Lepisosteus oculatus: one gene and its partner. The protein of the gene in region 2 purifies or fractionates together with the protein of the main gene of each other region. This does not show direct contact. Links are inferred from orthologs where the notes say so. Each region holds a gene or a part of one and is shown on either strand. Other genes may lie near its edges.

Region 1 (15,320 bases), about 13 Mb from region 2:
CACATGAGGAGAGCAGGGCTGCAACTAGGGAGCTCACAAGAAGAAGTCTTCCTCTTCATCTGAATCTTCCTCCAGCAGGTTCCTCTGAAACACAGACAGCAGCAGGTCAGAGAACTTAAACTTACTGGACCCTTTATTTCATGGAAAAAAAAACATTTTTCCATTATATTTTTAGACTGCTTTCTACTGAGTCCTTGGTTGCAAATGTATCCAGTTTTCTGTACATTCCTACAATATTCACTTTTTTAAAACAATTTTCCTAAGTCCTATTTTCACTTGTCATTGTTTATCAGACACTCTACTTCAACATAGAGCAGGAATAAGTGTCTTACGCATTTTCTTCCGAATCCCTGGCAGGACACAGTGTGCTGTGTGAAGTGGCTCTCATTTACAAGAGCACATTTAAGATATGTGGGCTAGATCAAACCCCTCACGAGAAGAAACCCAGGCCTTCACAGTGGATTTCCGTGCATTAAGAGCAGGAACCAAATGCAACCATCAAGTGCAAGGCCTACAATTTGAACCAAGCCATGGTCATTGAAATAATATGCTTCAATAGCTCAGTGTGCAGTAGAGGCCACATGTTCATTTCTAACTACATGTTGCACTGTTTTAGAACTTTATTAAATGATCTAACCACAAATGGTTCAATTAAATGTCTCAGTTAGACTATACATTTACAAATTAAGAATGAGCAATATGGCTCTCATCTGGTTAGAATGATAACCAGAAAAGACCAAGGATCCTATGTACCTGAATTTGTAAGCCATGTATATATATATAAGAAAAGAGCTCAGGTTGGAATGTCCACAGGCTACAAGAGTATAGCAGAGACATTACTAATTTGTGCCAAATAAGAACTGCGATGACTTTTCTCTGAAATCAAATCAATATAAATAAACAGAAATATAAACTCAGAAGTGCGCTGTTCAGGCTCTCGGCCACAGTAAGGACAATGTACACTGACAGATCTGGAGCTCCAGAGATGTGATTTTTAATGCGAGGGCACAAATCTTACAGTATTTCTCAAGAACATTTAATTCCAGGAAAGAGGAGGAGAAGTCACGGCATTTACAGTCACCCTGTTACATCACAGTTCTTTCGTCTGGAATTCATAGTAAATTATATTTTTAACATTCCTGCTCCAACTGGCATCGACTGCTGCTCATTGCAACAGGATCAGTGTAATGCGTGTGGCTTGCGTGCAGAGATCACACTCAGGGAAAATGACCCTGGGTGAGGATTCCCCCCCCCCCCGTCTTCTAAAGACATACTGTATCATCTTGTCTTGTCACCAAGACGTTTCAACAGCTGCCAAAACCAACAGAAACGGCAGATGAAAAAGAGAGGGGCGCGGCCGTGTCATTATCTCAGGGCACACCGGGAGGATCATCGGTTGTGCAACATCCCCGCGCTGTGATCATCCTGGCCCTAACACGACGCGGGGCCGGCCGATACTGGTGGCCCAGAAGGTGGAAGGGACAGGCAGGAATGTCAGGGAGAAAGGATCCAGAAAGAGGAGGAGAAGGCCTCATCTTCCCCATATCTCCCAGCTCTGCCAGCCCCACATCAGCCCAATGGGCACATGCGCCCCTCTTCTGTACTGCGTACCGTCTCCATTAACAAGATCTCAATCAGGCTATCCTCTGATGAGGAAATCTAAAACAGCCTGGTGCCAGACAGGTGATCCAAGGGCTCAGGTCTATTTATCATTTACATCTCCTCACGTAGTAGAAATAAGACTTTCATGTCTACGCCTGGGTTTCAATTTTTGACTCTTCTTCTGGATGGGTGCTACAATAAACATGTTTTCAGTCGGTGGGCACTACCCCAGCGGGTGGAGGTTTGGTAACAGCCTATGAATAACATCTCATTTCCTGTAACTGGCAGAATACCAACATGCCTTTGAGGTTTATATCAAGTGTTCCTGAAACCTGTTAACACTACTGCCCCTTCAATGCTAATACGATCTAGCACAGAACTGTGGCATTGCTTATTGCAATCTATTCACTGATCAACACCCAAGTGAAATATTTATTTAATATATTAGCCATTTCTCCTTATTTGTCCAAATCTTGCCTGTTTTTTTTACCTCGTGGCTTCCCTTGTGAACCCATGTTCGTAAATAACACAACTCATGTGGAGCATTCATGTGGAAAATTAAAATAAATGTAACTTAGAAAGTTACACCATCTGTGAAAGATTTTATCACAATTTATGAAGTCACGTTACTGATACACCAAGACTACACCTTCACAAGACAGATGTCTTGAGATCAGACAGTAACTTCAGCTGGGACATTTCACCCACTAGCTGTAATTAAATACAGTTCTCAAATGCAATGTAAACAATATGCTGTATTTCATGCTGTCAGCACTCCACATTAATATCCATAAAAATATCAATTTGATTATATCTAAAAAGGCTGGTGCCTGTTCTGCGTGGGATTAATGACTCAGGTTGTTGCTGTCTAGATTAAGCTATATTATGAACAAAAGGTGCACTAAATTAGGGGTTCATAGTCCTGGTGACCCACATACCTCCTAGGTTCATTGCAGTTCAGCTGTTAAGTTTAACAGCTGAGCAAATAAGTTGCTTTTCAAACTTTTTTTCCCTTTCACAAAAACTGGTGATTTTAAGCCAATTTTGAAATGCAACTCGTGAAAGGCAACTGTTACGGAAAAAACAGTTTAGGAACCAAAAGAGCTCAAATTAAACCCATTTTCACCAGCAGGCGAGTGAGGGCCTTGAAACCCAAGGACCAGGACAGGGATCCTCAGCACTAAATAATATGTAAGGTGTGTGCAGAGCCTCTCTTTCCCTCCGTCGCCCTCTCTCACCCTCTCGCTGCGCACTGATCCCGTGACGTCATCGTCGTTGAGGTGGCGTTTGAACTTGGGCGGCATGGCGTCTCCGTGCAGCTCCTGTCCCTCCAGTTCCCCCTGCAGGCAGACACGGGCAGCGCAGCCCCAGTTAGACCTGGACACAGCCAACACTCACAGCACAGAGCCAACTCTTACCCTTTTTCTAATGTTATTAATATTTTCCCACAGTTTCTCAGTTCAATCCCCAAGCCCACACTGCCTCCCTCCACCAGCCTCTTAGCTCCAGTCTCAAGCCCACACTGCCTCCCTCCACCAGCCTCTTAGCTCCAGCCTCAAGCCCACACTGTCTCCCTCCACCAGCCTCTTAGCTCCAGCCTCAAGTCCACACTGTCTCCCTCCACCAGCCTCTTAGCTCCAGCCTCAAGCCCACACTGCCTCCTCCACCAGCCTCTTAGCTCCAGCCTCAAGTCCACACTGCCTCCTCCAGCAGCCTCTTAGCTCCAGCCTCAAGCCCACACTGCCTCCTCCAGCAGTCTCTTAGCTCCAGCCTCAAGCCCACACTGTCTCCCTCCACCAGCCTCTTAGCTCCAGCCTCAAGCCCACACTGCCTCCTCCACCAGCCTCTTAGCTCCAGCCTCAAGCCCACACTGCCTCCCTCCAGTAGCCTCTTAGCTCCAGCCTCAAGCCCACACTGCCTCCCTCCACCAGCCTCTTAGCTCCAGCCTCAAGCCCACACTGCCTCCCTCCAGTAGCCTCTTAGCTCCAGCCTCAAGCCCACACTGCCTCCCTCCACCAGCCTCTTAGCTCCAGCCTCAAGCCCACACTGCCTCCCTCCACCAGCCTCTTAGCTCCAGCCTCAAGTCCACACTGTCTCCCTCCACCGGCCTCTTAGCTCCAGTCTCAAGCCCACACTGCCTCCTCCACCAGCCTCTTAGCTCCAGCCTCAAGCCCACACTGCCTCCTCCACCAGCCTCTTAGTTCCAGCCTCAAGTCCACACTGCCTCCTACACCAGCCTCTTAGCTCCAGCCTCAAGCCCACACTGCCTCCCTCCACCAGCCTCTTAGCTCCAGCCTCAAGCCCACACTGCCTCCCTCCACCAGCCTCTTAGCTCCAGCCTCAAGCCCACACTGCCTCCCTCCACCAGCCTCTTAGCTCCAGCCTCAAGCCCACACTGTCTCCCTCCACCAGCCTCTTAGCTCCAGCCTCAAGCCCACACTGCCTCCTCCACCAGCCTCTTAGCTCCAGCCTCAAGTCCACACTGCCTCCCTCCAGCAGGCTCTTAGCTCCAGCCTCAAGCCCACACTGTCTCCCTCCACCAGCCTCTTAGCTCCAGCCTCAAGCCCACACTTCCTCCCTCCACCAGCCTCTTAGCTCCAGCCTCAAGCCCACACTGCCTCCCTCCACCAGCCTCTTAGCTCCAGCCTCAAGCCCACACTGCCTCCTCCACCAGCCTCTTAGCTCCAGCCTCAAGTCCACACTGCCTCCTCCACCAGCCTCTTAGCTCCAGCCTCAAGCCCACACTGCCTCCTCCAGCAGCCTCTTAGTTCCAGCTCAGCCTGAAGCTCACACTGACTCACCACCTCTCTCCCAGAACCTTAGGTCTAACCACTAACCCACACTGTGTTGACAGTGGAGAGGTACCATTTATCAATAGGGTTGTCACAACCAAAAATATGTCAAATTCTAATGATTTATGATTAAAATTGGAATTCTATTTTGTTTCCAGCTTTCCTGGCAGGTTTTTTGGAAAACTGTTTTCCCAGGAAACCCTGAGAGGCCAGAAGCAGCCCTGAGTTTTCCAGTAAACAAGGAACACAACGAGAGAGAGAATGCAGAGAGAAGGGATACAGAAAATGGGACAGAGCTCAACTGGGGCTGCAGGATGAACTGGAGAGGACAGAAAACAGAGAGAGTGTGATGGATGGAAAAAAGAGAGATAAGGATCAAGAAATACATTTTATTCAAAACAACTTACACAGGTGACAAATGTGATGCATGGTCGTGTGGTTTACATGCTTGTAAAATCAGGAAAATAAAACACTCATATTCAACACAGCAGCAAGTATAACTAGTAGACAGGTATCTCAGGTTCACTTACTGCGAAAATAAATTGCTGTTTGTTACAGTGTTAAAATAATTATAATTGATGGTGGTGGTTTACTGCAAGAGATGCACCTTGCCCAAGGGTTAGAGTAAGCCTATAAAATATTTATACTGTAAATACCCCTTCCTATAAAGTCCCAATCATACAGACTTTAGAGATGACGTTTAATCAATAGCAGAGAATACCATGAACCTTGACTAATTAACCCTCCAAAACATAGTTAACCCAAGGGGAGAACTGGATAATTTCCCCCAATTCAACACATAAATGAAACACACAGCAGTCTTAAAGAGGGTTTTGGTTGTTTGCAGGCGTTCTCACTGGGTGCACCGATGCCCAGACATGCTGACAGTGATTACTCAACACTACTGATATCTACACAGAAAAGACAGGGCTGCAATGACACAACCTCCAGAGGCGTCTTCACAAGTGTAGCCACATGACTGCCCACACTGTCCCAACCCTTCCTGCGCACGACAGGAGTCTCCACCTCCTGAATTACAGGCGTGATGGAGGCCTTAAAAATCAGAGCAAGCTTACCCTGGTCCTGGAGAGTACCTGCCCTGCCCGGGTTACAGGTTCCTTTACATCACCACCGGGACAAAAGGACTGGGAAAAGCACGAATTCTGATCAAGCAAAGAATTGATCCCATTACATAGTTAGGAAATCAGGGTGTAATGAAAACCAGAAGACACAGTGACAGGCTTTAGCCACCCCAGACTGAAATAATTAAGTGGAAATGGGTCCAATTATGCTCAATTTAATGATGGCGCAGTAATCTCATGGTGGTGCGATGTGCCAGTCAAGGGCAAAGGGAAAACTCCCACAGCAACGACACAATGGCAGCTCACTCTTGATAGACCCTACCCAAGTAACAACACCTCACTTTTTCTCCTGATGATTAGTCTACGTTGTGGAGCAATCAAGAGTCATTGCAGCAGCGGTGGCCAATTCCGTCAGTGGTTCCAAGCAGATCAGCGCTTTCCAAGATTGCTGGGCTCCAACCATAACTCCAGATATCAGACACCTGAAGATATCAGCAGCGCAGTGCTGGCAAGACATGGCTTACTCACTTCCGTAACTGTCCCAGATGGGAAATGTGCTTTCCAGGCAAGTAAAATACATTGGAACAGGTAAAGTTTCAGTCCATGCTGAAAAGAAAATAGGCTTCTTCTTCAGGATCCACAGCTAAAACGCTGTGTCTTTTTGCTTCTCCTAAACCTAAACCTAAACTTTTACCTGTTCCTCTGCAGCCTACGCAGGCTACCTACTTGAAGTAAAACACATAACACAACACATACAGTTGCAGATGTAACACAACATGATCCCCTTAACAAATAAGAAACATACTTGCATAAGATGAGAAAAACAAGTTAGCATCTTAAATAAACTTTTCCATTTAGACAGAAAACTGAAACTTGATGAGACAGTTGCACAAGACACAAAATATGATCAAATCTAAGCATGATAAAAAATAAAGTAAAATGTACAATATCGGTTGTCCAAACAAAGCAGGTTAATAGCTTTGGGAATAATGGGTAAATTAGTTCTACTGCACCTAAATCTGGGTAGTCTAAATCCATATCCTGACGTACACGCTCATATTCACTCTGCAAAGGCAGGTCATGAGTCAGTGATTATACTGGTCTTCTGAAGTACTGGTGTGGTACAGATGTCTGGCAGCAGTAGCTGTTGTGCACCAATGACTTTACTGACTTCTTTCACTATCCTGCTCAAAAAGGAATAATAGCACATCAACCTTCCCATCCCAACTGAAAGGCCAAAACCCCACGAGTCTTCAAACTGACCTCTCAATCACTTAACTGCAGTAATTAACCATTTTAATTAGTTGATCCCTAGTCAATGAGTGCGGACTGCTTTATAACGACAAGAACTTCGAATTGAGACCACTGTTGTGTGATGACCGAGTGAAAGAATTTAACCTGCTCATGCTGGAGAAATACACCCTACAGGAGATTATAGTAGCACGTTTAAAATTCTAAAAATTGGACAGGAAGGAGTCAAATCTTGAAGACATTAAATCTTCCACGTCACACTTCGCACGGAGACCAGAACCAGGGAGTCTCAACGGAAATTAAGAGCAACTAATTTTAGTTCTGAGGACAGGAGGCACTTCTGTTCAGGAAAACCAGCCTGCGATCGATGGATGTGTCAGAAATTAACACCTGCACACACGTTGGACTAAAGACGAGTAAATGACCAATCTGTTCGACTTTTACATCAGAATGCAATGATAAATGTTCCTCAATTGTGAGGAAGAACCAAGGGCAGACGCCAGATGCAGAGAGGCACAAACCAGCAGTCGCCACTGTTTCAGTTTGAACTCAAAATCTGAACTGAACTCGGCGATGACAGGCCAGGGGACAAAGATCTTTATACCTGCGTTGTGTCTGACGTGTCTATCGGCCTGGTCCACTCGCAGTCCCCGGAGTTTAAACTCTCGATTATTCAGAAAACAACTGTCACTCTTCTTTCATCATTGAACAGCCTCTGAAAAAGATCTGACCGAATAACTGTGACTTCCAGCCTTGCCGGCCTGCAGCTGCTGTATCCGTAATTCAACTGGGAAACACTCTTCCTGTTCACTCACAGCTGACCGGGAAGCTAAACAACTGCCTTTCGCAGATTCTGTATTCACCAACCAAGCACGGGGAACTACGCCAGTCCGCAGCGCTGTGGGGAGCGTAAAGTGTTACGCAAAAAGACTAAAGATCTTCGCTGACGGGGTGTCACGTACTGGAAGATTTCCTGTTGCTATGGGTACTGACGGAGGAGAAAGCGGAAGTAGCGGGATCAGATTGTGTGGACCTGAGCATCGTTGGCATTTGTTTCCAAACGCCCCAAACTGCACAGTCTACTAAAGAGTGAAGGCTTTTATAAAGCTTTACTCTTCCGTAACGATCTGTGATGACGGCCCACTGCAGAGGAGAGAAATCTTTGAAGTGTAAATAAGTGGTTTTCGACAGCCTTTTTTAATTTTTTGATTAATATGATAAAAAAGAGTCCCATTTTCTTATGGAGCCGAACAGTTGTATGGGCCGAGTCACAACTGCACCCATAATGACCCACCATCCGGTCCCAGTGCAGTCACATCCAAATCTGATTTGTCATGTAACATCATCCTCGCAGTGCGTGTATAAGAGCCGATGTGACATTTTAATTAAACTCGAGACTTAAATTCAAGACTCAAAACATTCTTCTTTAGAATGGATTTTATTTTCGGCGTCCGCCCCTATGCTTTTCCACTGTATTCCAAATCCTTATTGCAATTCTTCAATTCAAAATACTTTATTCAAAATACTTCAATTACATTGAGGGAGGCAATTTAATTCTGCTCCTCTCATTGTGTGCTTTTTTTTTTCTTCTTGCTAGAATATGATCATTATTGGTGTTATAACGATTGACCGGGTACATATTGTTCCATCAGCAGTAAATCACGTGAAATTGTAGTAACTTGACCACCACCATGGTTTAAAGGTTCAGATGTAACGAGAGATGGTCAAGACATGGAAATCGTATCTGTGAGTCTGTATGTACACGGTGCGTACCAGTACGCAGTCCATTAAACATAACTGGAGTTAGAAATACTGGAGCGAATTCTGAGCCGTGGCAAAACACAGCCGTGAACTTCTTGCACGTCTCCGCAGTTTCATCTCCAGGGGGTTTGGCTGAATGGAGTCCAACAGCTGGCGCCCTGCGGAATTCTCTTGTCCGTAAGGAAGTTGGGTGAAGGTCTGTGGATAGCTTCCCAGCTTCCTGCCGGGCCTCAGATGCGATATTAACAACCTGTCTGACTTGTGTTTGTGGATTTAGAACGTGGTATGGATGGGGAGGTCATGGAAAAATAAAAACAATAATGATACGAAGGAATGCTCCTTGCAGTGGGTTTATGAAATGAAGGCCAGATTGTTTGTCCCACGCTGCCACTGTGTGGGCTTTGCTCAAAACAGTCTTGATTTCATTATCCGGCAGACCGCTTCCAGGCCAGCAGTGCAGCCTCACCACATCAAACAGGGAGACCGCAGCAATCGATGGTGATGTTCCCGCATGGCCCGATGTCGCACGGGATGGGACGAGAGCCACAGGGTGTCGACTGGGGCCGGTGTCACCTCCCCACAGCTGTCCAGTCCAGACGTGCGTGGGAAGGCATGTCAAAAGGGAGAGTGGTGGGTGGGTGTCAGTACAGATCCTCAGGGGTTCAACAGCTGTCACTGCTGCTCTCTTATGAACAGAGCGCCTTTGTGATTGTGTGTGTCGATTGACCCTCTTCACAATACTAACCATTCTGTGGCCCCTGTGCTGTGACTCAGTATTGCCTATTCCCTGCAATCTGTGTGGCAGATGTAGTCCATTCGTGAGAGCTCAACACCAAAGGCATTTCTAATACCCTAAAATTTCCCCCTTTTCTTTCTTCCTAAGGTACAAGACGTACTGTATGGATTCCCTCTTAATATGGATTTGATGGATTAATCTGTTCATGGGCACTGTACAAATGAAGCAGAGGAAAAATAAACCTTCCTGTAGCCGTCAGAACTCAGCTGAGAACAAATGTCCATTTACATTTGAGACCTGGCCAAGAGACTCACAGCAGACTTGCAGAGAAAACAAAGCAGTGAAAGAATGAAAACGGAAATCAACAAGAAGTTGATGATGCAACAGGAAGTAGTGAAATGGGATGTGGTAATGTCAACAAGAAAACAAATTAAGGAACCAGGCCGAAAATATTTAATTGTGTAATTTAAAATGCTCTCGGATATGAAAGTGGACAGTTTCAGCACACCTTTCATCTTGCTCCTCTCACAATAACGGTGGCAAATTGAAATGACTTGGTCCTAAAGTTGGGAGGTTTGGTTTACTAAAGCATGCTACACCGTAAACGATGAAAGACAGGAAGGTGTTTCCCACTTAAAGATCTGTTAGTTTTAGTGGTGATTCATGTCAACCAGTGAGAGGAATTTTGATGTTAAATTGCATCTCGAAGAGATCCTGTTTCAGCCCAGCCGACTGCCTGCTGTCCCCTGATGGAAAAGGCCCAAAATGTCTACTGGGAGCAGGAGGACAGTGCTGACGTGGACAGGCTTCAGCTCCTCCTGGAGCAGGGAGGGACAGTGCTGCCCTGGGTGTCAGGCACCGTGCTCATCTGTTTAGAAAAGTGTCTTTAAACTCATGGCTTCACCTTGTTCTTAGTTACTTTTTTTGAGGGTCCATCACAGCCACGTCTCAGTTATTGTTCCTTCCATAGTCCCTTGTTTTGGATATTTTGAAGTTCATCTTCTTCAGAAGATGTCTGATGGACGGGCTGAAATCTGGCTCTACCCGCTCGGGTGAGGTCTGGCCCCCAGGCTGTGGGATGAGGAGGCTGGCACCTCCATGCAGGGGCAGCAGCACAGGTGGAAATAGCTGGAGAAGGGGAAGAGGGATTTGGGTATGATAGAGATCTAGAAATAAAGCTTTGAGAAGAGAGGTTGGGAATGATGATTTAGCACAGCTGGGATGAAGGACTTGGTTGTCATCATCTCTCCCAAAGCTAAGAGCCTTTAGTTACCCTTTCATCCTCACAAGGACAGGGTCCAGAGCCCTCCTGAGGGGATCCACCAGCCAGATGAGCATTCACAGATGACAGATACAGCTTTGGATCTCCTCTCTCTAAAGCTTAAGGAAAAAATACTCATCCATTCCATTAGACAAAGAGATGTTGGGGCTCTCTGGACAAATTTGGTTGCATTGTTATTGTTTTGGATGGCTTGATAGTAGCATTGCTGCTTCACAAACCCAGGGGCCCTGGGTTTGATTCCAGGCCTGGGGTGCAGCCTGCATGGAGTTTATGTTCTCCCTGTGTTTGTGTGGGTTTCCTCCCGCAGTCCAAAGCCATACTGGAAGGTTAATTGGCTTCTGGGAAAATTGGTCCTAAAGTGTGTGTGCACCTTGCCAGGCCAGGCTCTGGCTCCAACACAACCCTGAAGAGGCTGAAGCCGTTAGAAGAAGGGTGGGAGTTACTGTTTGATGTTCCAAACAAAACTAAACAAGCTACAACTGCGCTAGTGTTCAGAGTGTGTATAAACTACCCCCTCCTCCGCTAGCTCTGACAGGCGTCTTCCAGACCTCAGCGCTGGAACGTCTCCCTGCGAGACGTCGGAAATAAACTCCAGAGCCGCGCTCTGATGAGTGGAGCAGACTTCCTGATCCTTTCCGAGCTGGGAGGTAGGAGGGAGGCCTGGAATAGGCAGCTCTCCTCGCTTCTTTCCAAACACAGAAGAGCAGTCACCTGTTTTTAATAACAAACCGTGCGAGTCCAGGAATACTGTGACTGATATGTCCCAGATGGTCTCCCTTTTTCCAGGCCCTGGGGGCATTTCTTTGGGATAGAAGTTTATTTATCACAACTCCTCCAATCTCCACTCCTTCTCCCCCTTTTTTGAGGATTCTTGATGAATGTGGTGGGGTGCAGATAATTTTATGTACTTATTAAGGGCTCATTCAGTTTTTGTGTTAAGCTGGATTTACATGAACACAAAAATGCAAATGCGAAGTTTTGTTCCTGCACAGTAGAGTTCCCAGCAGGCAACCTGCAACATGACCTATGGCCTTCCCATAATTCATTGCAGCTTCTGGAATTGACAAGAGCTGAATAGGAAATAGACAACACTTCCATCCTGAAGTTGTGCACTGAAAATAAAAAATTAACTTGTTTTTTAACCAATACATTTTATACTAACAAATTCAGAGTACCGTTTTGTGACAATGCCATCAATTAATCACAGCCCCTGTACGTCTTCAGTGTAAGTTATAAAGTAAAGATACAATTTTTCAGACAGCGGACTCCCGTAGGAAGTTGGAAGAGCATGGAAACATTACTTTTAGCATGTGTGTGCAGTGAAGTTTGTTCTAACAAAGAATATATCAATTCTGGTTTATAAATAAGTGGACCTTTATCATTTCTAATAAATAATTTAAATGAATCTTTTGCCACACATTTAGTTCCGTTTTCAGATTATATATATACTAAAATCCCTCCTCATAAGACCCTTTGTTGTATCACCAAGCATCTCTGTCCGCGTGACTGATTATCCAAAGTGACCCAAAGGTAACTCCATCTTTGTTAATCTCACTGACCTTCTCTAAAAGAGAGCATTAATAGACCTACAGCCAGCTTTTTTATTTATATTATTTCTGCAGATAACATCAAGTCAGGAAGCAAAAATTTGCCAGAATCCCGAGGCTGGAAATTAATCTTGACCAGTCTGTTTTGACATAAGAATAGAGAGGAAAGGTTATAGACAGGAGGTTCAAGCCTGCCTTGGCACTTCTGGCTAATAATTGATCAATCAGCCAAATATCACTTGAAGCAATTTTTCAAGAGAGAGATGGGCAGCTCCAGTCCCTGCAGGCTTAATTACTTAATTACTGAATTGAACTAATGTACTGAGTCTGAATCAGTCGCAATTTAAAAGTACCTGTCAAACCTGCAGGACTCCAGGACTGTGCTAAAGGATCACAGGCCTGGGGAGACTTGGCAGTAATTAGGGAGCTACCCTAGTTGCAGACTCAGTGCAGAGAAGGGTCTCTGTTTCTTTATGTTGAATGTGCCACGATCCGTATGTACTGTAAGTGATCTGCAGCACTGTGAACTTCACACAGTGAACAGAAGAAATGCACTAACCCATTTTCTCTAGAAGAGGGCAGTACAGTGTACAGTACAGTCTACCACAGGGCACCAGCTTGTCTTCTGGGGGGTACTACACCTTTTTCACCCCAATGTTCCTGGGGGTTTGCATCTTGAGTATGGTGCTTCTGAGAGGGAGACAGAGTACATCCCATCACTCCCACCTTCCTGTACCCCCAATTTCATCCATCTATCATCCATTTCCTAAATATTTCCGATGCAGGGATGCTGGGGAGCCAGCAAGCAACGGGCGCAAAACAGGACGCACCCTGGAGAGATACTCCCAGTGCAGGGCAGACACACATACACATTCACACCAAGACCAGATGCCAATTACCTTACCAGCAGGTCTTTGGACTGTGAGAGGAAACCTACAAAAAACACAGGAAGACCATACAAACTCCACACAGACAGCACCCCAGGTCAGGAACTGAACCCAGGGCTCCAGCACTGTGAGGCAGCAATGCTACCCACTGTGCCATCCATCCCAAATACCGACGTCTCCAATTGTTTTGGCTCAGTTTGGATGCAAGTGTCTCCTGAGAACCATCAGGATGAATGTGGTGGATGCCCGAGCCAAACATGTTTAAATAAAATGCTTCCAGAAGGTACTCATCTAACTGACTCACAGGAAGAAACACCAGAACCTACTCACCTCCTGTACAGCACAACGAAACACACACAGACCACAGCCTGCCCCCTGCACACACAGACAACTTGCAGGTCAGGTGTTTATGTAGACAAGCTGCATTAAACAGCCTTTGGGGCTAATCAAAAACCTGCTCTAAATTACTGCTGGCCTGTTTAAAAGGATTCAGCACATGTAATGCCAGCTATGCAGTGACAGTGGAGTGAGTGAAGTCGAACCTAGTTCCCCCTGTGAGCTCTGCACACCCTGAGGAAGCAGTGTGTGGAATTGGGCTGAGCTTAGGAAACCTGCCTAGAAACGTTTATGCTGGTTTCCAGTGATTAAAGCACATTTTCCTTAGTTCTTAACACTGACCTAGAGATACTTCAGGTGCGTTTTTTAATACACAGAGGTTCCAATGGTGCAATATTGACAATGGCACACTCCGATCTTTAATACTGATAAAGAGACACCCTGATCTTTACTACTGACACCGATCTTTAACACTGACACACCTGTTCTTTAATTCTGATATCTAGGCACACCATTCTTTTATATTGACACTGAGATACTCTGTTCTTTAACACTGACAATGAGACACCCCATTCTGTAATACTGATGAAGAGAGACCTCAATTTTTAATACTGTCACTGAGATAACCCATTCTTTAATTCTTCCTTTAAGATATGATTATATATTTTATGATTTCTTATACATTTGTTTTGCATCCATGCAACTATGTTTTATACACACAGAGAGACTTACAAAAAACATACGAGCAGTACAAATATTACATAAAAGACATCATCCATTACATAGTCCTCTCCCACAGGAATCCGCATTAATCACCAGAACCTGTAAGTTTACTCCCCCACAATTGCCCTGAGCCCTTATAACTGCACACACATAACCACTCATTGCTCTTGCCCATAAACCATCACTCCTTAATTGTGAACTCATTGATTGCACAGTTGGACTGAGTGTGGGATAAAGGAATTCCTCATTCTGTTACATCTACATTGAGGGACTCTAAAATATTGGGTTGAAGGCCAGTGGCTATTGTTCATGCAGAACATGTGGGGGATCAGAAGATATGCTAACAGCTAACCTCAACACACTCTTAATGTAAGCAGTATGAGCGCTCTGCCCACAAACGTAGAGCACTTCCTCAAGAGTCTGGACATCTCGGCTTCTGGTTGCACAGAAAGACTGTTTTTGTGTTTAAAACTGGCACTGAGACATTCCTTTCTGTAATACTGACACCGAGACACCCTGTTCCTTTTTCAATACTGAGACCATGAAACTCCATTTCCACATCCCAATGGCCAGCATGATTTCACAAAACTAATAAAACGACCGGATTGAAACACTTATGCAATATTAAAAAATGCAGTGAAGAATGCAGTTGTTTTTAATAATAAAAAATAATACAGGCAGTCTGGTATGAAGATAGACTGCGCCGACTGTCTGAAGCTCGGTTTATAAGCTTTCCCCTCGTTATCCTGGGGTTTTAACGATCGGGGAGGTTTTACTGCGCCCCACGGCCCTGCCTGCCCACCCTCCCTGTAAACTTTCACTTCTCCCGGGGTTGGTGGGGGGCGGTTTGATGTGGCTTTAATGCCACACTTTGCAGATCCTTATAAATGCCTAGCATAACTCAAGAGTCATACTCCGGGTTGTTTTCACTTGAATGAAAACATTCAAGCAGGCTGGAGCCCCTGTGCTCCTCTCCAAAGCCTGGAGCAGGGAGAGAAAGAGACAGGATTAATAGGAACAGTACAGTCCAGTACAGGGAGGATCTATCCATCATAGAGTGGCGCCCTCTACTGAGGGGCTGCCATGGGGCAGGGGAGACACTGGCAAGTTGAAGGACCGCTGTCTTTATGCAGTTGTCTGTCTGACTTTTAAAGATTTCTCTAATGTGTCAATAGTTTGATATACTTTTCAGATGTTTTTCTGGTACAACTTGTGTATGTGCTTTGGTAGTGAATGCGAAATAAGCATGCCAGCAAAGCACCATTGAATCAACTTTGTTATATTTAACACAATAATTGCTAACTAGTGATCGATAAAGCCT
Region 2 (15,382 bases):
TTGTGAACACTTGACTATCACCCATGTACCGTCAACACAGTGTTGAAATTTCGACTCATTTTGCTGCTGTTCTTCAGGAATTCTGATGCTTCTGTTACTAGTTCTGCTTCTATTGTTCTACAACATAATCTGCTCAAAACGTAAAATTTTCCATAGTTAAATATGAAAAATATTTATTTGGGGGGAATTGAAATGATTATTAGTTGTTTGTTTTGGAATTCTTGAATTCTTTACGGTTATTGTATTTTGAATTCAGGAAACTTTGCTTTCTAAAAACAATTTGCCATAAATGTTCTACTTTACATATTATACCTTAATCAGCCCATTAAACAACCTAAACCTGCAATCAAAACTGATAACCATTGATTCTCATTTGCTGTAGAGGGTGTGGGAAAGGTGCTTTAGGCATTTAAGTTTCCCAGGAAGATCTGAAATGCAAAACAATAACACACTTCAAACATTACTCCGACTCATTAAAAAGATGTTCCACAATCATATGCCGATTAAGAGCTGATTTGACAGACTGATTCAAATTAAAGGCTTCCTCATTTTGTTTTAAGCAACACTATTGTAGAGTCGTACTAATCGGGGTCTGTAACCTCTAATGAATTCACTTTTTTTCCTCTTGCAGACTAAGCAATAGTCCAGGCAATTTGAGGCAATTTGCAGCACTGTCTCTCTCCAGCAACAGGCCTCTATTAATCAACAGAAAGACATGGTGAGAGGCCTCCAGCCAGCGCTAATCTTTCTGACATATTTGGTAACTATCTTACCGCGGGACAGCTCCTTACTTCCTCCTTCCTCTGATCTTGCCATGTTAGTGGTGTGAAGATTAAACTTTATCCAATTAGCCACCCACTGAGTCCGCCAAGTTAATCAGGCGCATCTGCGCACCGTCACACAACGGTGACGCGAACAGATAGTTTCTGATTTAAAGGGGCAGATGTAACTAATTACTAGTTTTTGCATTATGATCAAATATAAAAGAGAAAGCTGGGGGTGGTGGGGGCTGGGCGGCGCTGGTTACAGGCCTTGAAATTTAGGCGCCATGTCTCTCTTTGCTTAGTTAAAGGCTAATCTCCCAAGAATGTAGTGTTTCACTGGTGGATCTTTCAGAACCTTCCCTTGAAAACAGTGGGTGGGGGGGGACACTTTAGATTATTCAAGCAGGCCTAACACCCCTAGACAAAGACCACACACTGAGGAGTATAATTTCACCCCATTTAAAATAATGTTCTACCAGACAGAATTAAAATCGTTAAGCCACATGCACAGTGCCACCTAATTAATAAATTAGCATTAACTTCAGCCGGAAAAGGCTGAATATGTTTTGGATCTGCTTAGGTTAAGAATTTACGTTGCCTTTAGCACTGTAAGAGAAATTAAAAATACTAAGAAAAATGTAAGGTATCCAATATTAGTTTGAAGTGGTTTGTTTTAATACACACGGCCACCTGCTGTTCAACAGTCTTTGTCATCAAAATGTTTTTGTACCACTTATAGGTCATTCAATAGCATCTGACCAGTTGCTTCCACATACAAGTTCAAGCAGTGCAGACCAAAAAAAACTTACTGCCCTAGTTAAGTCATTCAAGGAGCCTGATCCTGTGAAATTCAGAGGTTAGGCTTTCATTCAAACAAACACGAGAGGAAGTCCAAATCACTGTTATCCAACCCCACTTCCCTTTGTTTCTAAAGCCATGTGACCCAGGTCAGCACGTCAGACAAAATATAATATAATGATGGCCTGGTTCTAGCTACTGTACAAAGCTGTCACTTAGACGAAGAATAATGTGCACTCAGGATACAGCTGACAGCATAGAGCTCTTTACTATATTTTATCCACTTCATAAAGGATGTGCGCTCAGTGAACAGTGTAAACTATAAACTAAGTTTTTTTCATTAAATAGCCCCGAGGTTCTTGTCCAGGATGTGCCAAGCATGTGATCACTGGAGCAGGATTTTTAATGAATGAAATTTCTCTTAACACTGCTTCATATCAGGAGAAAAGGTCAGGCCATATCAGACTGGATGAGTTTGTCTTTTTCTCCAAGTACTCAGTTTCATAGTGTTTTTTTTTTAACCATATTACTGAAGACAACTGATACTGTTCCTCTGCCTTCGACCACAAATACCAGTAAACCAGAATATCACCTTTCCAGCTCTTAAAGCATTTACGCATACACTGTGAATACAATATTAGATTTTCATAACTCTTTCCGCAAGGAAAATACAGCAAAGTACAATTCAGTACAAATTGTGAAAAAAACAAAGGGTTTTTCACAAAAAGAGTGGCCTTAGTGTGTTTTATGACCTTGTGGTTGTATGTCCCTAATAAGACATTAATTTTTCAAATTACACCTTAGATGTAGTGATTTAAAGCTAGCTGGTAACACAATTTAAAGTTTGTGTTCTTTGCATTAATTATTTCACAACTTTTTATGTTTTTTTGTTTAACTTCAGCATCACAAACATAAGAATTTGCAACTGCAATTACAATTCACCTTCTTGACTGTTTACGTTCATGTTTTCTTGCATTTTACTAACAATGGTAAAAAAAAACAATCATGTTTGAAGTCAGTCACACAACGTCACTTTTCCGTGACACGGTGAAGTCACAATCTTAAATTTTTCAAAGTACCTTGAGGAGTCGGGCTCTGTGCCATCCTTCTTAAAAGAGGCGTCTAGCTGTTCTTCCCGAGTAAGAAGATCATCCAAGAGGTTCTGTCTTCTGTCTCCTTCTGACTGCATTCTGGAGGTTCACATTATTAAGGTCTGACTTAATGATTCAACGAGGCTTAAGAGACACAATGAACAGAAGCAGAGCCCTCCTTGTTGATGTACCATGCAAGGTGCATTATAAAATAAAATACATTCAACATTAGTGATGAGTGAGGTTTTGATGCCGGCTAACAAGCTATCAATTTATCTCAACTACATCTCTCTGAAAATCAATTACAGATGTGTGCACCTGTCTTGTCTCTGCTGCCCCACCTGTGCAGGACACACCTCTCTCCACCCACGGAGAGGAATAGGTGATGCACACAGAACCGACTGGTCTGAACCTGAAAAGGGGGTCTCCAGCACAGAGACAGAAAATCAAACCTTTCCCCCCATTCCTTGAAAAACACTGACCTCTTCTGGGCTGGAGGGGGAAAAACACAAACGAGGGAGCAGAACACAGAACCCTCCAGGGGGCGAGGGAAGGGAAAGGATACATGCGACGGGTGGAGGTGGACGTGAGCAGCCTCTCTCGCAGATGGGCGATCTGTTGCTTTAGCCTCTGCAGAGACGCTCTGATAGTCATGTTGAGCTGGAGAAACAAGAGGAGCCCACATTCCTGTCACTCCCGCGTCCAGAACACAAACACATTTTAAATCTTTAGAGAAGAACAAGGAATAATTCAATTACTGATAAGAACATGCTTAAAATCATTTTCCTTCCCAATCACTTCCTAAGATTGGCCTGTTATCGGGGATTACTTTAACACTAGTGTTGTCTAAAGCAGGTAGTCTAGTGATGATTAATTATGATATCATATATCATGTACAAGGTATAATGTAAAGGAACCCACATCATCCATCCTTGAATACAGCCCTCATTCTGCACCAGCAGCCCCACTGTACAGCAGATCAGGCAGAGAAGTATTAGGGGTGAGTGAGAGGGAACTTCAGGGGGGGCAGACTGTGCAAGCCCAGAGGGGAATTACTGCAGCCAGAACCCTGGGGCTACTGCACCTCACCTCTCAAAAAGTGCCACGGAATCATTAATGACCGAGCGATCAAGACCTCGGCCCGACGTCTCACACAGAGGACGGAATTCCTACAGGACCCTGTCCCCAGCCGCTACACCGGGACACCGGTCTTCCGGTCCCAGATGGACCGCTGACAAATATCCAAACAGAGACAACTGGAAGTTCTGATCCAGAGGGAAAAGCGTGACCAACTAGTCCACTGACGTCACCTGTAGCAGCAGTCTGGCTTTCCTCTGTGGTCTCGCATCCCAGTACCGAATTGGTCCAGCTCTGCCGAGCTGCCAAGATCTTACAAGATCAGACGCCAGGCTGACAGTACTGCCGCCACCTACTGTTCATTGCATTTGTGAAGAAAACGAAACGCGAGCACAATCACGACACATGCAGGCACGTGGAAAAAAAACTGGGGTGAGCACAAGGGAGAACGCCTTGCCTTGGCAGGGTTTCCCCCGGTCCGGTGCTGCCGGTTCCGCTCGTGAATGTTTTCAGCAATCTCCTGGGCCAGCCGGCAAGTGGCATCATAAACCTGTAGCCTTGAAAAGAAAGAATCTGCACGTGGATGTGTTGGAACGACAACTGGATCCGTGTTGGAAATGAACCCACAAGTGCTTGGGTTACTTTGTTTCTCGTCTGGCCTGCAGCTGCACCTTATATGCAGGTTGTTTAACAGTAGTTTAAAGAGAGGAAAGCCCACCGGCCCAGTCTAGATTTACTGCAGAACAGCCTGCCCACTGTGCTGCTGTGCAATGGAAATTCAGAAAGTGAGTTATTTAACCATAACCAGTGATCAGAAATGGGGCCTGGCCTTTGTTTCTCGCTTGCTTATACATTAGGGGAAAAAAACTACCTAATGTTAGCAACAAAAACAAATTGCCAAGATTTTCAAGCAAGCTATTAAAATTGCTAGTATTAATTTTAGAATAACAATTCATAATACTGTATTTCTTTGTCCACGTTACAGTTTAGGAAAGCCGTTGTATCACGAATTCGTACTAATATGAATTCTAATTCATGACTTGACCACTGCCATGTGAATATTAATAAAGACCCATAGAAAATGCACTATTCTCACGTCACAGAAATACGACAGAGGCAAGCTATAGCTAAATCTTTTTAAAGACAGAGACAGCTGCACACGGTTTATTAATGATGCTCAAGATCTGTTCCGAACTCCTCTTAACATCACCCACAGTACGGCTAAATGCTATGACACAAACACTACAAACATCCTTAAATAAACACGACACAGAGAACAATATCAGCAAGTTACTTCTGGGATGTTATATGTAGAACTGGTCGGAACGGTACTGAAATAAAGAACAGTGTTTTATTAAAACAGGTGGGAAAGCTTAAAGGCACTTGAGGGGAATATTCTGAGTCTATAAATTAATTGGGAAGCTACTAAAATTAACCCGTTCCGTGCCAGAGCAGCGTTTTTAAAACTTCCGTAGCGCTTGAATCGGGAATTACAAAGACCACCAAATTAAATTACATGATGCAGCAACGTGCAAAATCGTCACCAAACCAGTCTTCAATGTGCAATATAACGAACAACAACAACTGTGATAAACATTCGTCCTATAATCCTATTTGTAGCCCGTAGTGCCAAAAAATCACGATGAAATAGAATGTAACACATATATTTATTTTGTAACAAGCTTACCAAGGATCCTGTGACATCGTTTGATCAAAAGACTCTCCAAGAATTACTTAATTCAGTAAATTTGACTTAACTATTTTGCGAAAGGCTAACAATCCCACTTCCTGTTTAGGTACTTGTGTCATGTGATTATATACAGCTCACGACGAGGGACATACTGTCTAAACTCGTGAACCTGCCCTTTAGCGTGCAGGGAGAAAGAGATTAAACATTTTCTCACCTTTCTCACATCAAACTTCGGGTTTGATGACGCGTAATCAAACGTTATTGTATCGTTGCATCAACATATTTTGAGAGAACTCTTAAGTTCACACAGATACCGGCCTCTTTCTCTTACAATCTTGGTGTTGCTGGTTTTGAGGAAAATAGCCCAAAGTCTTGAAGAGTCCAACTGCGATTGGACAAACTAAGACATAGTGTGCAAGCTGTCTGAGCAGACAGATAACTTATATAGTTCAGGGGCATTTTTTCCAAGTCATTTTTCATCACTTCAAAAACAGGACAAATCCCATTGTGTACCTATACATGACAATCTATGTAACAGATTCTTGAGGTAATCACTCTCCTGTGAGATGGGACATAGCAGTGTTACTATGGATAACTTACTCGCCAGGCTTGATCACCACTGAACATGTCTGGCTGGAGCTGGAGTGAGGTGGCCTTGAGGGCTCAGAGACCAGTGAATAGCACCTGCAATTCAGGCTCTGAGAGGAACGCAGAGCCTAAGACAGAGATATGGCAATGCCCAAACATGATATTAGCCTGTGACTTTTACCATAGACCCATGGAGATGAAAGATATTGATTAGCATAATACATCCACTGGTGTCATGTATGTCCCATAATTGTAAAAGTACACAAGCAGCAAAAAGCCTTTTCCTGATGACTTGAATTTGCTGAAAGCAATACAGTTCTTTGATTGCTTGGTAACTGAAGGATTTTAAAATGTTCTCCTTGTATTCTGTTCAAAAGGCTCTAGTTTAATTGTCCTTAAACATGTAATCAGTAGTGTCTTTTGCTTCTCACAAGCAGATCTTTCAGTATAGACATGTTAACTTTTCATTTCAGCAATTTCGACAGCAGTCTAATATTTTTCCGCACAGCCCGTATACAACACCCCCATGTAAAAGACGAGAAGTGTTTCACAACAAACGGATCGTGTTTAAACATAAGCAAAGATGTACTGCATGAAAAAAAAACTAGAACATTCAGGTTCTTGGAAAACTGTTTGTTGGTCCCTTTACCTCCTTAGCGCATTGCAGAAAAAGGTTCTGCTGCACAATTTTATTAAAGCAAATTCCTAAAATTATTGAAACATCATATGTATTTCACAGGACTGGTGTCTGAACTTCACGTTTACTCATGTAAAGCAGAAAAACAATTTAAAATTGACTTTCGTTTTGGATATGTATATTGACATAGTTTATTCAGTACCATGTTTACAGTATACCACGTGCCTTATCACATTCAAAATAAGCCAGAATATGATAATGAGGGTATATAACTGCTAATTTGTGAGAAGCCATGTGTATAGTGTATCCATGGGTAAGATCAGTAAACACACATCATGTTCTTGCTGAGATAAGCAATACCATTCTGTGCTTTGTTTTGGATCAGGTGTCTTTGCTGTCACAGGTCATGCTACAGGACAGGCCAGGCTGACAGCAGCGTGTGAAGCCCAGGGTCTGCAGGCAGGGTTGTGGTGGAAGAAGAGGAGGCTCTGGCTCGGGGAATTTTCCATCGCACGGCTGGAGGAACATGGAAACGCCAAGGCTGACCCGGCCTTCCCCGCCCAGCCCACCGGATGACATCACAGCCGCGGTCCCGACCTTGAGCAAAACCTGTCAACACGGAGGCCCCGGAGAACACTGTTGCACCAACAGAGGACAGTCAAGAGGAACAGCTGAAGCTCCCAGCCCGCCCGCAGTCCTGACAGTTCCACCGTAGAGCTTGACGGACATGGAGAGGCCAGTCCCGCAGATAAATATTTCAAAAACAGACGAGGAGCTCCCAGCCCCGTCGAGCTCCGCAAGGTCAAGGTCACACTCCTGCCAGGACAGGGAGAGCCGCCCCGCGGGGCTCCCTCCGGAAGATGAGCCGACGGAGCCGGGGGCGAGGAGACCCCGGTCGAGGTCCTTTTACAGTTTCGAGACGTCCAAGAGCACCAGCGATGGACCCCTGACCAGGTCCAACGCCATGAGGCCGCGATCTAAGTCTCTCCTGAGCGGCGATGGGATGCTGTCCTGGCTGCAGTTCCGGAGACCCAGGACAAACTCCAGCGGCAAAAAGCCGCCATCGAAAGACCTAGATGGTATGCCTGATAAAACAGTGGCGCACTACATGTGCTTCTCCTCATTTCATTCATTACCAGGATCTAATCTAAGAATAAAGTAAAGAAATTGAAAATATAATATTTCAGCTGTCCAAGAGTAAACAAGTTTACTAAAATAATGTATTATTATTGTTATTATATTATATATATTAAATTATATATATAATTTGTATATAATATTATTATATGATTATATCATGTTTTATTACATTATTTTTATTATATATTATTTTAGATCTATGGCTGAAGTAAAGAAGCTTTGTGTCTTTGGAAACCTGGTGAACTTATTCATGTTTAGTTCAGAGTTTTAGGAAGAGCTTATCTAATTAAGATACCAATGCAAATATCTTGTTATACCTGAGTAACTAAACTGGTAATCGTTTAATTTCATCAGCTTTATTAATAGTACATTAAGAACTGAGGCAGAATAAGAAACAAGGTTTCTTAAAGTGTTCAGCCCTTAGTGTCTGTATCATATGTTTTCTCCTAGGAAGTGGAAAGAATGTGCTAAACATTCCAATTCTGACCATTTCGGAATCAGACAACTGGGAAGTTAGTTCATCCTCCACAATGAAATACTGGCAATTCGTAGACTGGGAAAAAATGGAGCCTAAATCTGCCCTAAACTACCAGAAGATCTTACAGAGTGACTGCAAGCAACTGAAGAGCATGGCCAGAGCAGGTTTTTGGTCCACAAGCCACACTCTGAGAGCCAAGGCCTACCACCACATCATCCATGGCATCAGCTGTAGGTCTGTCACCCCAGACAGGGAGATCTACCAGCAGCTCTCTGAGAAACTGTTTGGGAAGAAGAAAACAAGCACTCACCCTTTCCCAGAATACATGGAGAATGGCGCAATCCCCATGTACTGTCTCAGCAAGACTGGGGTCAACTCGGTCAGGAAGATTCTCCTTTGTATCGCGGCACATTTCCCCGATATCACACACTGCCCAGTCCTGCCGGCCCTGGTGTCTCTGCTTCTGCATTTCAGTGAGGACGAAGCGGAGTGCTTCCACAGTGTGTGCAGACTCATTGCTTACAATGACCCGGACAAGCGCTACATAGACCAGACGTTCCTCGCCCACAGAGCCTCCTGCATGACTTTCCGAGACCTCGCCAACAAATACTGCCATGGTGCCCACAAGCTCATCGCCACCTCCAACCAGAGTCTGTTTGACATCTACTCAGATTGGATAATGTGGATCTTTGGTGCCGGGCTTCCATTTGAGTACGCCATCCGGGTCTTGGATGTGTTCCTGCTGGAAGGCTACAAAGTACTCTACCGGGTTGCTCTGGTTCTGCTCAGTCTCTACAAAGGTTCTGTGCCCTCCACGCCCTCCCACATTGCCGATATCAGACAAGACATCATGAGCTTTGTAGGGAACATCTCTTGCCATATCACGGTGGACAAGCTGCTGGAGAAGGCCTTCAGCATCCGCCTCTTTTCACGCAAAGAAATCAACCTGCTCTTGTCTGCTAACATGAGCGCCCTCCTGCAGAAGGGCATTAGCATTCATCAGAAGAGGTGAGAACAAGAAAACACAAAGATTTTTGTTCAAGATGTTTTGAGGGTTTCTCAATTAGTTCAATTAGTTTAAGTCTCAAGTCCGGTGAAAATACGAACGCTTTCCTGAAATGTTAATGGTACATTTCTTTTTAGCAAATGTTGTGACCATCTTATGACTTGCAAATAGTATTATTCAGTATGTTTTCTTTTGCTGCTATACCCTGTACAGGGTAAAAACAGACTTGAGTTTTTCTGTAAAGTTTCCTTTCTGGAGAATTTGGGACTTTGTTTTTTTTTAATTCTGTTTTCTGTAAATGATTGTAATTCACCTGGTACCGGGGAGTGGAGCTCTGGTTTAGCTGGCTGGGATGTTCTGAAGAACCAAGATTAAATTCCAAAATATGCAGAGCTGCACGTTACACTTTTTTTCTGCTCTGTGATCGTGCAATATCATATTCCAAATTGTTTCAGATCTGGATTCAGTCCTCTTACCAACATGCTGGTACTCTCTCCCCACAGGATGTCCGTACATCTAGCAGTGGATCTGGATAACTTCAGCTCCAGTATTGTCACTGGACAGGAGATGAGGATGGTTTGGTCCTGGATTCCAGAGCGCTTTGCCCTGTTCCAACCCATCATGCTGTTCACCACCAGTGAGCATGGGCGCAGCCTGACGTCGTGAGTAGTCCCAGCTCTTCCTGGATGACAGCGTTCACAGATAAACGAACTCCAATCTCAAACACAACCCTTTAAAAAATGGTGGCTTATTAAAAAGTATGGGAATCTTTCAAATCAATCTGTCTCCAGTAAATAAATATGCATAGATACAGATCAGTCCAGTATCTTTATCACTAATTTTAAAGGAATAGATTAGATTCTCTGATTTTCATTTTCTTTTTTAATTTAAAAAGGGAGTGCACCCTGTGGGAAATGTTTCCCCTCAATCGAAGTTAAACTCCTTCGCGAAAACATTGCAAAAGCAATAAAGCATTTCATGGAACAGAGCAGTTTTGACAAAATAATAATAAAAGTACATTGATGTATTCTGGCTTGGGGATAGCAAACTGAGCCATGAATCATAGGCCAATGTTGTCATTGTTTAATGCACATGAAGCAAGTTCCATTTCTGAAAACAATGCTTCCTCTATGGGTGGTCCATGCCTTTAAGGTTATACTACAGTTATTGTACTATTTGAAATATGTTTTGAATTTTAATAGGAAAAGGGCCCATTGTGATATTAATGACTCTTTAACTCATAAATCCTTCTGCTTAAAGCATGACCATTTGGAAAATAATAGCTGAGAATGTATGAAGATGCAGATTATAAGCTTTGCAAAAGACAGCTGCTGTTACGCTCGTCTCAAATCTGCATGACTGTCCTTTAGTACACTATAAAGAACTACCTTTTGCCAACAAAAAGCTGTGAGCAATATGTTTAGGTTAAAAACGTCTTGAGAGAGCAAACCTTTACTTCATGAGCTGCCAAAGCTTTGCCTACATTTTGCTCAAGTATGCTCATATGAAAGAACAAACAGTTTCTTTCAGGCTAATAATAAATGTTATTCTGTATGTATAGAAATAATTTCAAACTGCTTAAAAAGGAAGAAATGAGATGTAGACGGTCCAGTACGAAATGAGCTTTTCAGCTTACTATCTCTGAAGTTTAAAAGCCAGCCCCAGAAAGGAGCGTAAACCTTTGGGGATCCAAATAAAAATATGGAAAGGAAGACAAATGTGAAAATCTGAATATTTTAGTTAGCAAATGTTGTTTTTATTGTTCGGATATCTGGGTACTGTAATTGGAAGAGTACAAGACAGATATTTGAGTGATTTCTTCTTCATTGCTCTCAATTAAATGACATTTACAAAACAGGCATTGTTGCCCATAAAGGGGGCGTTTTCTCAAGCCTGGGAAGATGGAGGAACTTTCTAACATCTATGCCATGAATCACCAGGGCAGGACAGTCCAAGAATAAATCACATGACTGTGACATGAGAATGTGTGATTCTCTACATTGGTCATATTTTATGAGCAGTCTTGGTCCATAAATTTGTCTGACACATTGAGGGGCTTTTTACTAATCTGTTATTTAATTGCACATGTTTTAAAATGAAAACTATTGCCTTTAAATGTCAGAAAAGCAGACAGAGAGAAATGGAAAAACAATGTGCCGCTAATTGTACTTTTGAACTTTAATATGCCTTTTTTTTTAAATAACCCTGATCAAAAGGAGTTCTCGTCAAAAAGTGAAAGGGAAGGGAAGTCTTAAGTTAATAGCTCTTTCATGAGCTGACGTCTCTGTCCTCATGGTACAGACACTCACTCAAACAAGCACAAAACCACTTGCCACACAGCTGGGTGGTCTGAGCAGGATGTGGCCGTGCCTCTGACTGCTACAGTGAATGGTTCTGACCAGGGCCTGACCCTCTGACCCTCGAACACCTTTAACCTTTCTAAGGGCAGCATTCCGCGAGAACTAGCTCACTGTTCTCAGCCCAAAGCCGACATACGCATGATCATTGAGGAGGGCTTCACTTGACAAGATACACAGGTAGGTAATGAGGTAGGCACTTCAGCTGGCAACTCCTGTAACGAGCTAGACTGCCTGTAGCGAGACTGGCAATTAAGCTTAGATTAAGTCCTTCAGGAGCCAGTGGTTTAGTCCTGGTTTCTGGAACATTTAGCACACTTAAGGTACAAAATTCCCCTTGTGACTGTAGTCCATCAGGGAATAACACCTGCCAAACCTATCTAAGGTTAAGGGTATGCAACCTGAAAACGAAATGCACTGACGCGACGGCAATTTTGCAGGTTGAAGGCATATGTCCAGATAAGATCTGAAATTTTGTTGCTCTCGTTAGTCCATTGTGGTTTAATATCGCAGAATTTTCTCTCCATGGAAAAGAGTGGCTGGCTGGCAGTACCAAAAAACGTGCTGAGTAATACTGCCTTTAACTGGAATTTAAAACAAAGACACTCATCCTTAGATGGGTGCCTGCATGAAACTTGTTGGAAAATTGTTCATCTTTGCTCCTACTCACATTGAACTTTGGCATATTTATACTGTAATTACAGTATCATAATAGTAAGCGTATATTAGAATGATAATAAAAGCCCACAACCCATACGTTGGCCAGACAGATTATTAATGAGGATTAATAATTAATTTGTGTAGGTTGCCATGCATTGTGTGTACTCAGTGCTTTATTAAACGGAAGAGACAAAAGTGATCATTTTCATCCTTGTTAAAAATAAATTGTTGTTTTTTCCTCAGGTTCTATTCGCAAGTTGAAGGCAGTGAACCGACTGTTCTTCTGCTCAAAACTGAAGACGAGGAAGTGAGTAGATAACTGTTTTTTTAAGAACTGAAAGTCACAAAAATGCTTTGTTTAATAATGAAGGTATGATGTCAAAACAGGCATTTCCAACAACTGGTGCTGTGACTAAAAAGCTCAGTGAAATTCTGAGCTCTGAGTGATGTCAGGACTCCTCTCTTCACTCCGCAGGTCTGCGGTGCATTCCTCTCGTCCGACTGGAGCGAAAGAAACAAAGGTGGTGGGAAGGGCCTGAGCTTCTTTGGCACTGGGGAGTGCTTCGTTTTTACCGTGAGTGAAGGACAACTCTAAAAAATTTAAATAAAGCAAAACTATCTTCCAGATGGGTGGCATGATAGCGCGGCTTGGATTCTGGATGGGGACCCTTTCTGTGTTGTTTGCGTGTTCGCTCAGTGTTCTCATGGACCCAGGTACTCCAGTTTCCTTCCAGCTTCCAAAGACGTGCTAACTGGGTTAACTGGTGTTTCTGAATCGTCCGAATGTGTGTGTGCGACCTGCTATGGATTGAAGTCCTACATTGCACCTTATGCATCTGGGAAGGGCTGCAGGGTGCTGCAGCCTTCACCAGGAATAACTGAGCAAGCAGGGGTGTTTTTGTGCAGCATTTCAGGGAATAACAGAATAACAGAACAGTAGCTATTGTACATTATGTGCATTATCTACAACCAGTTTTAGAAAGACTTTCCAGATATTCACCCCTCCTCATGCCTCTTTACAAGCATGGCTCTTGACCATGCATGGGCCTCGAGAGGTGACAATCGGCTGATCTGGCATTTCCTCTCCACAGCTGTGCCCTGAGATGGAGCGTTATGAGTGGGCCATCCTCCACCAGCCCAAGATCGCGAAGGAAACCCACATCCACTCCTCACCACACCTGAAGCCTCCCCCAGCCCTGGCCACTGAGGTCCCACCTCCTGTGACGCTGGCCGGCCCAGGAGGGACACCCCAGGATCCCAGCTACCTGACTGTCCCGTTCTCCGTGCCCTCTGAAGGCCCCCCGCCCGAGCCTGCTCCCAGGAAACCCCCAAAGCATCCTTTCCCTGCCTCGATGTTCATGGCAGGGGGCACCGAAAGGATTATCATCGGTAAGGTCGGGAGCAAAGAAAGTATCTTCCACTTAGCCCAACACATCCCACGCAGCAGACACCTCCCATCTTCACAGGGGATGTGCTGTAAGAACAGTTTCTGAATGACAGGAGGCCGTTCTGTCTATCTTGCTTTGTGAGGTTGTCAACCTATGAATTCCATCTAATTGTTTCTTAAAGGGTCCCACAGTCGACTCAAACCACAAGACAAGAGGGTGGGTTCCAGTAGACCACTCTCCTCTGTGAAAATGAGTCTCAGAAAATCTTTGGGCTTTTTTCTGATACATTTTATGTCCTACTTCTGTTTTGAATGTGTGGTCCTCTGCAAGGTCTCTGGGTTGCACGGTGTGTCAGTTTTCTACGGGCTTGTTTGTTCTTCCAGCCTTTCTGTCTCCACGTTCCTCCTGAAATTCCCTGTGCCACGTTGTGCAGGTGAACCACGGAAAACCAGTTTTAAGAAAGGAAAATGAACATACAGGAAATTGATGGTTGAGATTAGGTTGTTTTTTTTCTTTAGTCAAGGTGTACTTTGCCAACATGTTGGCTAGCATGGAATAATTTGTGCCCTCTGTACGTGTGTGGGGACCTAATGACCAGGAAATGTCAAGGCAATTTAACAAGGTCCTGGTTCCTAATACGAGCTCAGCTGCTCAGATCATATTTTGATGTTTATTTCCAGTGGACAGACTCCCATCTTGGCTTAGAGGATTTCAGTATTTGCAGAGTTAAACACGCTGAGCTCCTGACATCCTGCTCTCCTGCTCTCTTCTCTCTCCAGGAGGCGGTGGGGGTCAGGCCTTGTGCATTGCAGCTGACCTGCTGAACGGATGGACAGAACACTGTGACACCTTCCAGAACCCCCCGCTCTGCCGAGACAGCTTCAGGATTCAGTGCCTGGAGGCCTGGGGAATCCAGAACTCTCTATAACCCCAATAATAATGTGAAAAATGTAGTGAATAGAAGAAGTTGTTATTATTATTTATTCGTTTGTTTGACGTTTTTAACAACGGTTATTCACAGTTCAAAGTATTGTAACGCAACGGGGGCTCAGGCGGGCGCCCTTGCCGCATTAGGTCGGCCCCTGCACCGTCCGGGGCTCGAACCCGGGACTTCCGCGTCTCTCTGCAGCGACCTAGCCCCGTGAGCCAAAGAGAGATCTCTCTACAGCCCAGTAGCTGTGGTCCTGCTATCACAGGGAAGGGCGGTGACGTCACCCGCTCTGGTACGCCGGCTCTTACACAGCGCCTGTCGGCCGTAAGCGTTACACTCTCCCCCGCTTAAATCGCCGTCCCCGGCGAAGGGCTATCCCGCCCCGCTTCTGACACCAATGTAACACAACGGGGGCTCAGGCGGGCGCCCTTGCCGCATTAGGTCGGCCCCTGCACCGTCCGGGGCTCGAACCCGGGACTTCCGCGTCTCTCTGCAGCGACCTAGCCCCGTGAGCCAAAGAGAGATCTCTCTACAGCCCAGTAGCTGTGGTCCTGCTATCACAGGGAAGGGCGGTGACGTCACCCGCTCTGGTACGCCGGCTCTTACACAGCGCCTGTCGGCCGTAAGCGTTACAGTATATTTAATTACTGATTGTTCCCGTTGGCTTTATTTTGATTGCTCAATAATTGTGTTTCATCTGAATGAGCTCAATGTTTATATATCCATTATGTGCTGCACAGCATATTGGTGTGGTTAATCTGTGTACATATTTTTGAC

Evidence for each region.
Region 1: the proteins of stx8 (region 2) and vamp4 purify together in Homo sapiens (co-immunoprecipitation; 3 studies listed by BioGRID and IntAct, counting the BioPlex papers as one, with this or other methods). This does not show direct contact. The link is inferred for Lepisosteus oculatus from reciprocal best matches to the Homo sapiens genes STX8 and VAMP4.

What each region holds. Positions count from the first base shown.
Region 1 is NC_090704.1:31,380,258-31,395,577, forward strand, and holds the start of vamp4 (vesicle-associated membrane protein 4), read right to left. Parts: upstream 7,550-15,320; 5' UTR 7,332-7,549; intron 2,943-7,331; 5' UTR 2,907-2,942; coding exon 2,841-2,906; intron 85-2,840; coding exon 38-84; intron 1-37. UniProt on the Homo sapiens protein: Involved in the pathway that functions to remove an inhibitor (probably synaptotagmin-4) of calcium-triggered exocytosis during the maturation of secretory granules.
Region 2 is NC_090704.1:44,154,234-44,169,615, forward strand, and holds the start of stx8 (syntaxin-8), read right to left. Parts: upstream 5,552-15,382; 5' UTR 5,435-5,551; coding exon 5,418-5,434; intron 4,288-5,417; coding exon 4,188-4,287; intron 3,314-4,187; coding exon 3,219-3,313; intron 2,753-3,218; coding exon 2,642-2,752; intron 1-2,641. Other genes in the region: TBC1 domain family member 24-like, read left to right, coding at 7,373-7,724, 8,236-9,271, 9,773-9,931, 12,530-12,593, 12,762-12,860, 13,378-13,675, 14,454-14,602. UniProt on the Homo sapiens protein: Vesicle trafficking protein that functions in the early secretory pathway, possibly by mediating retrograde transport from cis-Golgi membranes to the ER.